Nothobranchius furzeri: one gene and its partners. The protein of the gene in region 2 interacts with the protein of the main gene of each other region in a pairwise test. Links are inferred from orthologs where the notes say so. Each region holds a gene or a part of one and is shown on either strand. Other genes may lie near its edges. The genes, in order: enox1, zmynd19 and tnfaip1.

Region 1 (4,039 bases), on a different chromosome or scaffold from region 2:
CACTCCATTTACCAAACCCTACACACACAGAGAGAAGAATAGAGCTGGCGCAGACATCTCCTGTGAGTAATTCTTCCTGTGGTGGAACACAGTCTAATGCTCTCACCGTATCTGAAAATACCACCACAATTAGCGGCAGACGTCCCCATTGAGCTCTGCAGCGTGGGGTCAATTACTGTTTGTGAGGTGGCGTGGCAGGATCTGCAAAAGACTCGAGGAGGATGGATAATCGCATTACGGAAGCTAACAGGCTGCTGTTTGCCACACGGTGTAATGAGATGCAAAACACGAAATCTCAACAGAAGAATTCTGTCGAGATTTTTGGTCCAGTCAGAGGATTCTTCTGCCTGTGCACGTGTTTTTATGTGAAACCCCGTCAGCCATGTTCTCCCCAACAACCTCTGGGAAATCTGGCGTCTGCAGTCGCTCTCAGAACCAGCCTGGCCTTGCCCCCAGCCGCCACTGGGACGAGGGTATCAGATTCTGCTGCAGCGACTCAGCAATCACACCATCATGTCAGCTCATCATGGAACAGCAGGATGTTTGCCTGCAGACAACCGAGGAGCTGTTTGTTGCTGATCATGATGATGATGATGATGAGTGCTGTCTGTACTCCCAGTGTCTCCTGGGGTTTACTGTTTAATGACACTCTTTCACAGACGATCGGACACCTCTCGTAACCCGGAAGTATCCATCCAAGAGCTCGGATTAGAACGTTCTCATCATTATAAAATTCTTCATCTTCACTGGAGTCCAAAACAGATTCACTACACTCGTGTTATGGTTCCAGGATGTTTGCAAACAGTTGATAATGCAGCCATCTGATTGGAGTGTGTGTTGTTGGCTCTCAGCTACCACGTGTAGACCTGGGTGTATATATGATGTGGTCGCCATCTTGGATTAGATTGACACGTTTGTTAGCAACACGAATAAAAGAACAAGAGTAGAATGTCCTGCATCCTGCACACACACACACACACACACACACACACACACACACACACACACACACATACAGGATAGTGTGCATGAACATTTACAGACTTCACACAAACCTGTTCATGAGCACAAATAATGTGTCGGATTAAGTTCTAATCCACAGATTATGAGTCAGCAGCAGAACACACTACCATCGATCTGAGAGGATAAAACATAAACGTCTTATAAAAACAAAGATTCAGCCTGATTTATAAGAGAACCCGTGTTTCGGTAAGCGTTATCAGATTATAGGTTTGTTACTGACACTCCCTGATGCTGCCTTCACACGATGCTGAGGAGGGTTGCCGTGGTGACGAGTTACCAGGAGCTCTGTGTTTATGAGCCAACATGAACGTGCTGCACTGAGCCTGAATGCTGTTAAAATGACTCTGTGCCTTGCTTCAGGGCTGAGTTACACTTTTACTTTTTCTACTCGAGTAAGCCACAGGAGTCCACCTCCTGCTCCTCAGCTTCTGATGCTTTTATCTGACACCAAACTTCCCTTGTTTATCTAAAATACTCAGATAAAAGCCTCCGGCTGACAGGAGGGGAGGTGGACTGATGCTGCTCAAGGGCCAAGGTGACTTCAAAGCAAGGGCATCCTCTCCTCCACCAACTCACCCGATACACACACACACACACACACGGCCACACACATGCGCACGCACACGCACGCACACACACACATACACACACGGGCGCGCGCACACACACACTCACACGCACGCATGCCCACACAGCAGCAGCAGCAGATTTCAGCCCTGCAAGTGGACATTGTTGCGGACAGCATCAGGACCGCCACCGGACATTTGAGAGAACCCGGGTCTGCTCCTATCTGGTCACTTTCTCTCTTCGTTATTCACACTTTTTCATGCATTTCTTTAGCGACTCTGACTTTGGGTGAGTATTCAGTTAAAGCCCCAGATCGGAGCTGCGGGAGCATCCTGCCTCCTCTGAATAAAAACAAGGTTCGCGCTCCGCTCCAGGAGAAACCTCACATCCCAACATCACGTCACATCAACTTGAAAGCAAACAAAAGAAGCTTCTGTTCTTCCGCAGATGTGGGCTCGAGCACCGAGCGGGGCTCCACCGGAAAACAACGGTTTTAATGTCAGCAGACACTCAGCAGAGCTTACTTCCTCCTTACCGGGTCAGGAACCGGGAGGATCCGACGCGGAGCGGCGGAATGTGCGGGCGGGAAGACGGTAAATCCCGGTTCTGGCGAAGCTGGAGACAAATCCTGCGTGCGCTTTCTCTCAGAGAGCAGCTGCTGGTGCTGATGCTGCTGCTGCTGCTGGAGGAGGACGGAGAACCCAAGGGCGCGCGCTCGACACGTGCACGACGGCCAGGTCTGGGCTCAGACTGGAGGTACCGACCGGTGAGAGCTGGTACCGCGGAGGAAGTAGATGGTAATAAAATGGTTTAGTCAGATGAAACCTGATCAAACTTCACCACAAACGAACCGAAAAGGAGCCGAGATTAGCAGCTTAATTAATTCATCATTCAAATCCAAATGAATGAATAACTATGTGGGAATATTTAGACTCAGACAGTTCATGGATGGATGAACCAGAGAAAAACGCTCATAGATCAGGAAAGTCCTGATCCTTTTGTTCCAGACAGAGGATCTCCTGCTTTTATTTTGTTAGTCTGGATTCACATGTTACAACGTTCGGTTTTAAAATGTCACATTCAGATTTTCTGGATCAGATTTTACTTCCTATTTAGATTTGAATAGATTTAACCATTTAGTGTGTAACCAACAAAACTCCTGCTCTAGAAGCTAACAGGCTGGCATTCCCACATCCAGCCAAGGAGCTTCTTGGTGAGTCAGGTTGACACATGAATGTTTGTTGTCTCAACAAAGTTTCCTCATTCTCAGAGATTCCCATCGGACGGCTGCAGGAGGCACGTAGGAGCTGGCTGAGTCAGGCTGCATTCATACCTGACATGATTATTAATCTGGGAAGTGTTTTGTTCTTCTCCAAACCAGAAACCACAGACAAACTTAATCTCTGAACTAACATCTGAACAGAAAACCCCAGCTTTATTTCCTGAGGAAACTCAGATGGTGAAACACAACAACAGGGGCGGTTCTAGACCAAATTTTCCAGGGGGGCCACAGTGGGGCCAGTATTTTTTCATGGGGGCACAAGAAAAAAAAATCATAATAAAAGACAATGAACAAGTAAACTATTACGGCAAATGCAGTAATGGTTTACTTGTGAAAGTAAAACTGGCATGTTTTTATGGTACTCAGATAACAATTCTGAATGCTTCACAGTAACATGAGACTTGAGTAAAAAAAACAATTCTAGTCAATTATTATAGTTTGTGACTTTATTAGAAGATTATATGAACTGTACATATGAAAAATAAACATTCAAACAAATAAAATATCTGCACATGAACTGTACATATGAAAAATAAACATTCACTCACTCACACACACACACACACACACACACACACACACACACACACACACACACACACACACACACACACACACACACACACACACACACACACACACACACACACACACACACACACACACACACACACACACACACACACACACACACACACACACACACACACACTTCTTTTGTGTAAGTTTTTGCTGATTTAGTTTTACAGCATAAATCATCATCAAGATGTGACAGTAATTGGTCACACAGTAATCTGTCCCATTACAATAACAGTATTCTACGTTTGTGCTGTCTTGCAAAACGGTCTACAAATGCTTCAAGATTCAGAGCCTTGGCCCTTCTGGATTCAATGCTTAGCACCCCTAGATTGCTAAGGCGCTCATCTGTAGTGGTAGACCGGAGGTAGGTTTTTACTAATTTTAATGTTGAAAAACTCCGCTCACAAGAGGCAGAACTTACTGGGAGTGCAACTGCGATTTTGCACAGTCTAAAGAACTCGTAAAATACCTCCTTGTGAAACGGATCAACTCCACTGTATCAGAAAGCTTTTCAACCACACCAGTCTTTATTTTTCTATCCAAAAGTCTCTTGAACTGATGCAGTTCATGCCCCAGATCCTCAATATT
Region 2 (4,243 bases):
TGTTAAACTCTCGTAGCTGTGGAAAGACGAGATCATTAAGGTTTGATGTTCCTGCTAAATGAATGAGTAAAGTTTTTTTTTAATCAACATCGGAACTTTCAGTACACACCCTCCTCTCAATTAGTGAACAAGGGGGGTAATGACACTCGTAATAAGTGCAGGAGCACTCCTCTTCCTCCACTAGCTCCCCGTTAGCATTGTAGTAGCGCGTGCGGCTTAGCTCTAGGTACTGCTCCTCCACCGGGTCGGCTGGGACCTGCTGGATGGCCAGCCAGTACAGAGACTGCTCTCTAGGAGGAAAACAAAAACACAGAAGACATCAGTTATTGTCCACCATACTGCTAGAATCAGTATGGTTCTCAACATGTGAGTCATGGTAGTGACTCAACGTCAGCTACCGAAGTCCTCTCAGGAATGTTTAGTATTTTTGCCCCCATGCCTTTCAGCAGAATTCATAAGTGGTCTCACCTTTGCTTGCTGGAAATCTCCTCCGGCTTGGGGCTCCAGCCCACCGGCACCAGTCGAAGGTTGTCTAACCGGTTGTCGACGGTTACGGAGTTGATGTGAATCACTTGAAAACTAGGGGCAATGCCTCCCCTGTGCTTCTCCCTGGTTAAAAGCAAAGAAATCAAGAACTGGTTCATTCAGAGTTACTGAGGATTTATTTAAACATACAGCTAACCCTACCCTCCAGGGGAAATTTCTGGTTTTTGAAGTCTACAGATGCACTTAATGGATAACAAGGATGGTTTTAATATTTGCTGCAAAATAGCCTAAACACCAATGACCTTTAAGATTCTTGTAAAGGAAATATAGATGGTTGATTTGTCCTCATTAGGTATGGGAGATTCAAGCTAAAACTTTCCATTGTATAGGATCCATTTAAATGTTGATGTTTGCTTTTTTAGCATTTATGATGTATTTTTTCCTGGCGTACACAGAATCAGTTTCTCTTTTCAGAAGTTCTTATCAATCTGGTTCAGGTTCAAGGCTTTTCCTACTACAAGTCAAGGAATAAAGACTTAAATATAGAAGATAATGTTAACTATTCATTTTTGCTCACAGAGAACATCTTGTTTTTGTAGAAAACAAAAGACTTACCAGAGTAGCTCATGCAGAGGTCTTCCTGCCCAGCGGCCTTTTCCGATGTCAAAAGCATAAGCAAAGATCTTAGCACCATTGCCATCTGCATCTACCTCCATGCGTGCCTAAAAATAGAGGGAAAATGTAGCCGTTTTAAACTTCTTGGCTGTGGTTAGCGATAAAAATGGGAAACGGGGTACAAAACATTCTGATAGTTTACCTCAAAGGCATAGTTTTCCACAAGTGGTATGTCCTGCTCATCAATCAGAGTGTATTTTGTCTGAAATGGAGAAAAATTGAAGACATGATTTGAGTTTCACAATAAAATCTACAGCTGTGATCATAACATACTTTGAATGGATTTTAATGAAAAAACACTATCCAATATGCCGCCAGCAAATACCCAATTTTTAAGCTCGTCTATTAGTAAAACCACAAGTTGAAATTTTTAGAAAGGGCTTTTCAGAACTTCCACTCACTACCAGTTGATGGTTCAAGCTCATCCTCTATAAAAGATTTAAATCAAGTGATCTGTGCCAGTTCAAAATTTGCAACACACCTGATGTTTGCAAGATAAACAGAGGATGACACCACTCAGACGCATATGTATTTGACCTGCAATCCCTTTGTTGCAGGTCAAATCCTGAACTGACCAAGTGTGTAAAAGTTATAATACACTTACCCACAATAATGACTAGTTTTATCCTGTTTCAACCTACCAGAGGTTTAATAACGGCATGAAACAAGGCGTAATTATCTGTTTTAAAACTAAATATAAAAACGTTTCAACCAGAGGAAAACTGTCACTCAGCCGGATGAGATGCAAGACTGGTGACAGCAGTTTATCCTGCGTGTCTTGTGACAGCAGTGACAGCAGCAGCAGCCAGGGGTGTCAACACCAGCATCCTGCCCCGATTTAAAGTCACGTGTATCTGAGGCAATTACGTTATTTGAACGGAATAAATCACAATACTTTAGCCCCGAGGTGTGGAGCGCAGCATTGCTATGCCGGTGTTATGTTACCACGGGCTAGCGTTGATGAAGCAAGGCACCGATTCCCTCATTAGTTGTCAGCTCCTGTCTAATCCAGATGCCATGGCTAACGGCTAATCTGGTGATGCTAACCTATCCGCTACAAGATAAAATGTCAGTTCTCCTTGTCACACCACACCCCCAACCAGCCACGAGCCACGACAGTGTCAGCAGCAACAAAAGCACAAATAGTTTGTGTTCACGTTTCAGGTAGACGTTTTGTTACTGGAAGTAAACCAGCTAACGGACATGCTAGCTAGTGTTAGCTTGAAGGAAGACAGTGATAGCGGTGGAGTAGAGAAGAGCAGACTGGCTCTGGCTCGACGCGGCCGGCTTTTCTAATCCGCTCAAACGACTCTGAAACGGTACAACTAGCCCACTCCCGCGCCCTCAACGGCACCATTATCATTACGGCAGCTGACTGGCATCGATAAATTGCCGTTAACAGTGTATTTACTTGAGGTTTCCGCATTCCCCACGGGCCGCACATGGCAGCACTGGGATCCAGCTCACCTTCCCGGCCACACGGCCGAGCCGAACAATCCCGAGCTTGAAATCCGACATCAGGAGGACGGGTGGTGTTGACACAACGAGGCGTAGAATCCAACCTTGGCGGTTTTCGGGGTGTAGAACTCGCCAGGGCAGCCCGTCTGCCCCGATGCGATGCAACTTCTGGGTTCAGTGTAGTGACTGCCCTACCTCCAGGTCTCTCCGGCCGCAGCCCAGCCTCGGTGACACACGGCCGCTGGAGCACGAAAGCTGGGCGAGCTGTGGTGAGAGGCGGGGTTATCGAAGGAATGAGCCACTATTCCAACCAACCAATCGAAACACGTTTTAGTCTGCGATGCCCTGTCCTTGCGCCCAATAGAATTACACAAACGTTTAAGACTGCCTATTTTAACTTAGACGTCAATGCTCTCTCGTGATCACTTCCAATCATTTTCGCGCGAAATCTTTGGCGGCTCTGTGCCACTGAAGGGGAGGAATCTCCGTTTTCTAAAAGCTTTCATTTAAAATTAAACATGAACTTATAAAGAATAAACATTGTTATAAATGTTGTCATATAAAAGCAAAATGGGTTGTGTTTGGCTGATTATTTGTTTTTTTGTAACAATGCTTCTTGACTTTAAATACCTGGGGGTCCACATCAGTGAGGACCTCACCTGTGCATTGAACACCACACAGTCATTAAAGAAGGCTCCACACAGCTACTGTACTTCCTAGGGGGCTGAGGAAGTTTGTCACTCAGAATCCTCAGCATCTTCTACAGCTGCATCATTGAGTCAATTAGATCTGTTGCATCTCTGTGTGATAAGGTTTGGTACGGGAGCAGCATCACCACCACCAATAACCACTGAGTCAACAGGACAGTCACCTCCATCTTCAAAGACCCCATCCACTCCCTCTATGGACACTTATTTCACTTGCACATGAATAATGGTGCTGTAACTTTGGTAGAGTTAATAGTTTTGATTGATTTGTTGCTTCTTTTTTATCTTATTTGTTTAAAAACCTAAATTATACTGTGATAGAGTGGGACTATCTAGAGGAAGTGATGTCACAAACTGGACCACCAAAATAAGAGTGGGGTAACTTTACAAATGGATCTTGTAGAAGTGCCAAAACTATAACCCTTTCTGACATATACTTTTGGCATCCATTGCAAGCAGCGAAGAATTTCATTGTACATGGAAATACATGAATCTGTATAAATCATTTATCCTGATTAGTCACCTTTAAAGAGGTCCTTCACAGAGAAAGCATTTTTGACTTATTGTTTTTGAAAAACATAGGTCATTCTGAGTTTAACGTGTAGGCTAAACGTGAAAATTGTGTCCTACATCTATTTCCTTCCCAATGATATAAAATAGATGGTGAAGAGTATCGCCAGAAGCACAACCAAAATTGTTAAATTGTTCTGTTGTTCTGTTGTTCCATTAAGATTTTATACAGAATGTACTTTCAGTATACAACATAATAATGTGTGAAAGATGTACAGTTAACTGAAAATGCAATAAAATATACTTTTTGAAAAAAAAAATAGACGGTGAAATGCTACACTAGAATTTAAAAGGTGTGACAGCACTACATCACACTGTTTCTTGACATTAATGACCTCACCCATCTT
Region 3 (4,046 bases), on a different chromosome or scaffold from region 2:
ACAGGACAGGATGATGAGTAATAAGTTCTGCTTACACATGATTAGAGCATAAACCCGATACCACTAAAAGTTTCACAGAATCAGGAGAGAAAACAGGGACATACAAAGCTGCTTTCTGTGTCAGACTTACCTTCATCTTCTCCGTTTCTGCTTCTTTTGCCAGTTCGTCCACCAGCTCGATTAGACCACCCACGGTCTTCTGAAACTGTCCAATTTCTGCAACAGAGGAGACAATTTTGCACACACTGTTGAGGCTGGTGATGATGAAAGGGAATAAATAGTTGGAAAAGTGTGGGGGTGGGGATGAGGACGTAAAATCTCCATGCTTACTGTCTACAAAGTCCTTGCACTCTTCTTTAAGCTCTGACGTCTTGTGGCTGACATCAGGCTCTAGCACCCGCAGCTTGTTCAGGTCATCAAAATAAAACCCTGCCTCTGCGAGTGGGTCTTTAGCCATGGCCAGAGGCCTGTCATCAACGACAGATGCAACTTAGTTTAGTAATATCAGATAGTTTGTAGGATAATATACCTAACAGGTAACACCCCATTATCATCATAATACACACAAGAGCAGGTTCAAAACAAACAGAAGTAAAACACATTATTTTACTAAAGATGTTCAAGTGCAAACCTTTCGGTAAAGCAGGATTCCTTCTACTCTAGTGCTTAAATTAACAGCACCTTAAATTAACCTCGGCTGAATGAAAGTTCATGTGTCACCAAATGAAAGATTATGCTTTTATTTTGTTTCGGTCATGTTAAGAACTCCCCAGCTAGATGATTTAAGTTAGCTAGCATAGCTAGATGTTTCAAAAATGCCACAAATTGTTTTCTGTCACCACTTCATAATAGATGACCAGTTTTTATGAAGATAAGAAACACAAATGTGTATGTTTTACCTGTTACAGTCGTGAGCTGATAGGCTTTATCCCGTGTGATGTGGCAGAGCAGATGAACTAGCAGCTAAGCTCCTCCTGTCGCTGCCAAGGAAACCAAACAGCTACAGCTGTGTCGGGGTCTTTGGGGGTGGTCGTTTTCCCCTATCCTTCTTAATTATCATAACAAAACTATTCACTGTTTCGTTACAACGCTGTCCCCTATGTTTTTTCCGTTTGAATACTTTACCGGTGTGTTACGTCAACATGAGTTCCTCTAGGGTGGGTGGAGGACTCGTATCGAGGTAACACCGGAGAACGGGAGTGACATGTTTATCGTAATGTTTTTAGAACTGTGACCAAGTCAGTCGCTCAGTGACATAAATGATCTAAAATTTAAATCTAAAAAAAAAAATTAAATAAAAAAAAAGCCCAACTATATGTTGTTTCTCTTATCTACTGTGGGTGTTCCACCCCAATGCGGAAGGTGACGGTAATGAACCGAAAAAGCAGTTCGCTAACAGCCATTCCAGAAAAAGAACAAGAAACGGATACGTCTGTTTTGTTTTCTTTCTTTTTTAAAATCATTTAAAACTCCATTTGTTTATTGTTGTTGTAAATATTACTTAAAATCATAAAAAAGAGGACGGTGAGTAACTAAAGCTTACAGACTCATACCGTGTTTAGGATCAACTGTAGGATCCAGTTTGGCCATTTTTTACTTTTCCTTAGTTTATTGAAGTTTTACCTCGTGATCACGAATATTCAGGAGTTAGTTTTCCGTTTACTAGAAATGCATTTAATGCAAACAGCGATATCGTTTCAGTGCGTTCAGCTTCTAATATTTGATCTGTTGTTTATCTGCTTTTCTGAGTTTTTGGCTAATGTTAGCGGGACATGCTAACAAGATACAGTAAAACGAATAAACATACAGCATAAAAGCTTTAGTTTCCACTGACCTGTGCTATTCTGAACTGAAACTGTATATCAGAGTTAACACGCATGTGAAACTAAATATTGTGTTTACACGGAGTTTAGTTATCATCACCTAACCTAACTGTTACTGGGCCCCAAACTATTTTTTTATCGGAATTTTTTAGCAGCCACACAACTTTAACCAGAAAGCAGCAGCTTCCATCTTAAGCTAAACTGATTGTTTTGGGACAAGAGTAAATGAAAAACTCCCTACTGGAGCCTCATAGGTGTTTTGGATCTGTTGGACTTCAGATAAACTGGTGCACCATCTATCTGAGACGGAAACAGGAAGTACACAGTACGATGTCCTCTGAAAATGACTACAACCGCATTACCAAATAATCTCTCAAAAATAAACATTAAACTTTGACGTATTCGTTTAAATAACAACTAAGGTATTTTATCAAGTGCTTTTAACTGAGAATGATACAAATAGTTATGAATCACAGGAGCTATTAGATGTTTAAAGTGTAACAGAAAGAGAATTTTAAAGTGTTTGGTTGTTTTATTAAACACTTTGTGTTCTTTAAGGTTCAAACACCTCCTGTAGACCATGTGAAAAGTCTAATAAGAAAATAAAAGAACAATAAAACTGAAAATAAGGAAGGCTGGAGCATTCAGGTGAGTAAAGGTTTATTAGGTGTGAGTAGGGATCCACAATATATCACAAATAAGTCGTTATCGCAATATCAGCATGCGCAATATGCATATCGCAAAGAACAGGTAAATACAGCAATGAATGGTCAGCTCAGATGTTTGCTACACATAATGCATTCTGTCAATCAAGCAGAAGCATTATGTTTTTTAAACAAATCAAATAGAGCTCTTTGGCATATTGGGTGGGTTCTCATAGGTTAGATGTCCGCCCCTGAGGCAGACGGCACTTAATTTTGATGGTTAGCAAACACCTGAGTTAGCTTTGTTCTGCTCTTTCTGCTTTTCCCGGGATCCACTGATTGCCTTTTATTGTTCATTTTATTTTTCCCTTTCCTCACATCTTTTGCTTTTCTCATTTTTATGATTTCTTTTTGTAATTTATTAATTTTGATTATTTTTGTTGCTGAGTTGAGTTTTTAATTATCGCAAGTCATATCGTCATTGCAATATTAGTCACTGTTATCGCATATCTCAGGTTTTCCTAATATCCTAGGTGTGAGTTAAAAGGACTAACGTTTCAACACTATGTGTCTTCGTCAGAGTTATGACATTGGTTACTCTGACGAAGACACATAGTGTCAAAACGTCCTTTTTACTTGCACCCAATAAACCTTTACTCACCTTGAGTCGTCCAGCCTTCCAGCTTTTCATTCAGTGTTCACCGGCTGTGGAGCACCGACCTGTGAGGGGTTGATACGCAGAGGGCTCCATTCCCTAACAATAATAAGACATTTTAGTGCTGTTTCTGATTTTTTAAAACACAATTTGGTGCAGAGTGAAAGATTGACCCATTATCTTCTTCAGTTAATCTAAGTGAAATTGAGGCATTCACTCAGAACTCAAACAACAGATTAGATCACCTCCACTTCGGTTATGTTCATGCACAGCCTCAAAAATCAGCTGTTAACATCATTCATGCAGAAATAAGTACACAGGAAGGAAACCGTTTCAGTGAGCTGAAACATGCAACACATTAGGATCACATGGTTCTTAAAGCCTCCACTGAGTTGTGACCGTCAGAACATGATCTGGTGTGTTTTATAGGTGGACAGGTAGAGACCCACTGGACCCACTTCCAGTAGGATCTGTCTTTCTTTCTTTCTTTCTTTCTTTCTTTCTTTCTTTCTTTCTTTCTTTCTTTCTTTCTTTATTCTTTCTTTATTCATTCATTCATTCAGACATTTAACCTTCTTTTAGATTGAATTGACTATTTGCTGTGAGCCAGAGAAACTGTGCCTCTTCCACAAATTTCTTCTTAGAGGCTGTAGCCAACCTTTGCAGTCAGACTTGTCTGAGAAGGACCTGCAGCTTTCTGAGTGTCTTTTGCAGCTCCGTGTGGTGATTTCATCTTCACTTGATATTTAAAGAGCCTCCAGGAGCTCTGTGCCCTCTCGGTGAGAACAGCCAGGTCGGTTAAAAACACTTATGTGTAGATCACTTTTAACACTTGAATGCTTTAGTCTTTGACGTGGTCTTATTTCCACATCAACTGTGGTGATTTCTGTGGCCCGTTTTCACCGGTCAATCAGTTTACACACC

The links.
Region 1: the proteins of zmynd19 (region 2) and enox1 interact in binary tests that used the Homo sapiens proteins (3 or more experiments, as listed by UniProt). The two-hybrid records come from large-scale screens. The link is inferred for Nothobranchius furzeri from reciprocal best matches to the Homo sapiens genes ZMYND19 and ENOX1.
Region 3: the proteins of zmynd19 (region 2) and tnfaip1 interact in binary tests that used the Homo sapiens proteins (3 or more experiments, as listed by UniProt). The two-hybrid records come from large-scale screens. The link is inferred for Nothobranchius furzeri from reciprocal best matches to the Homo sapiens genes ZMYND19 and TNFAIP1.

The regions. Positions count from the first base shown.
Region 1 is NC_091754.1:35,044,264-35,048,302, reverse strand, and holds the start of enox1 (ecto-NOX disulfide-thiol exchanger 1), read right to left. Parts: upstream 2,877-4,039; 5' UTR 2,126-2,876; intron 1-2,125. UniProt on the Homo sapiens protein: Probably acts as a terminal oxidase of plasma electron transport from cytosolic NAD(P)H via hydroquinones to acceptors at the cell surface.
Region 2 is NC_091746.1:54,509,970-54,514,212, forward strand, and holds the start of zmynd19 (zinc finger MYND domain-containing protein 19), read right to left. Parts: upstream 2,861-4,243; 5' UTR 2,680-2,860; coding exon 2,629-2,679; intron 1,364-2,628; coding exon 1,304-1,363; intron 1,209-1,303; coding exon 1,102-1,208; intron 610-1,101; coding exon 469-609; intron 291-468; coding exon 110-290; intron 17-109; coding exon 1-16. UniProt on the Homo sapiens protein: May be involved as a regulatory molecule in GPR24/MCH-R1 signaling.
Region 3 is NC_091753.1:22,424,355-22,428,400, forward strand, and holds the start of tnfaip1 (BTB/POZ domain-containing adapter for CUL3-mediated RhoA degradation protein 2), read left to right. Parts: upstream 1-1,190; 5' UTR 1,191-1,524; intron 1,525-4,046. Other genes in the region: ift20 (intraflagellar transport protein 20 homolog), read right to left, coding at 131-216, 331-457. UniProt on the Homo sapiens protein: Substrate-specific adapter of a BCR (BTB-CUL3-RBX1) E3 ubiquitin-protein ligase complex involved in regulation of cytoskeleton structure.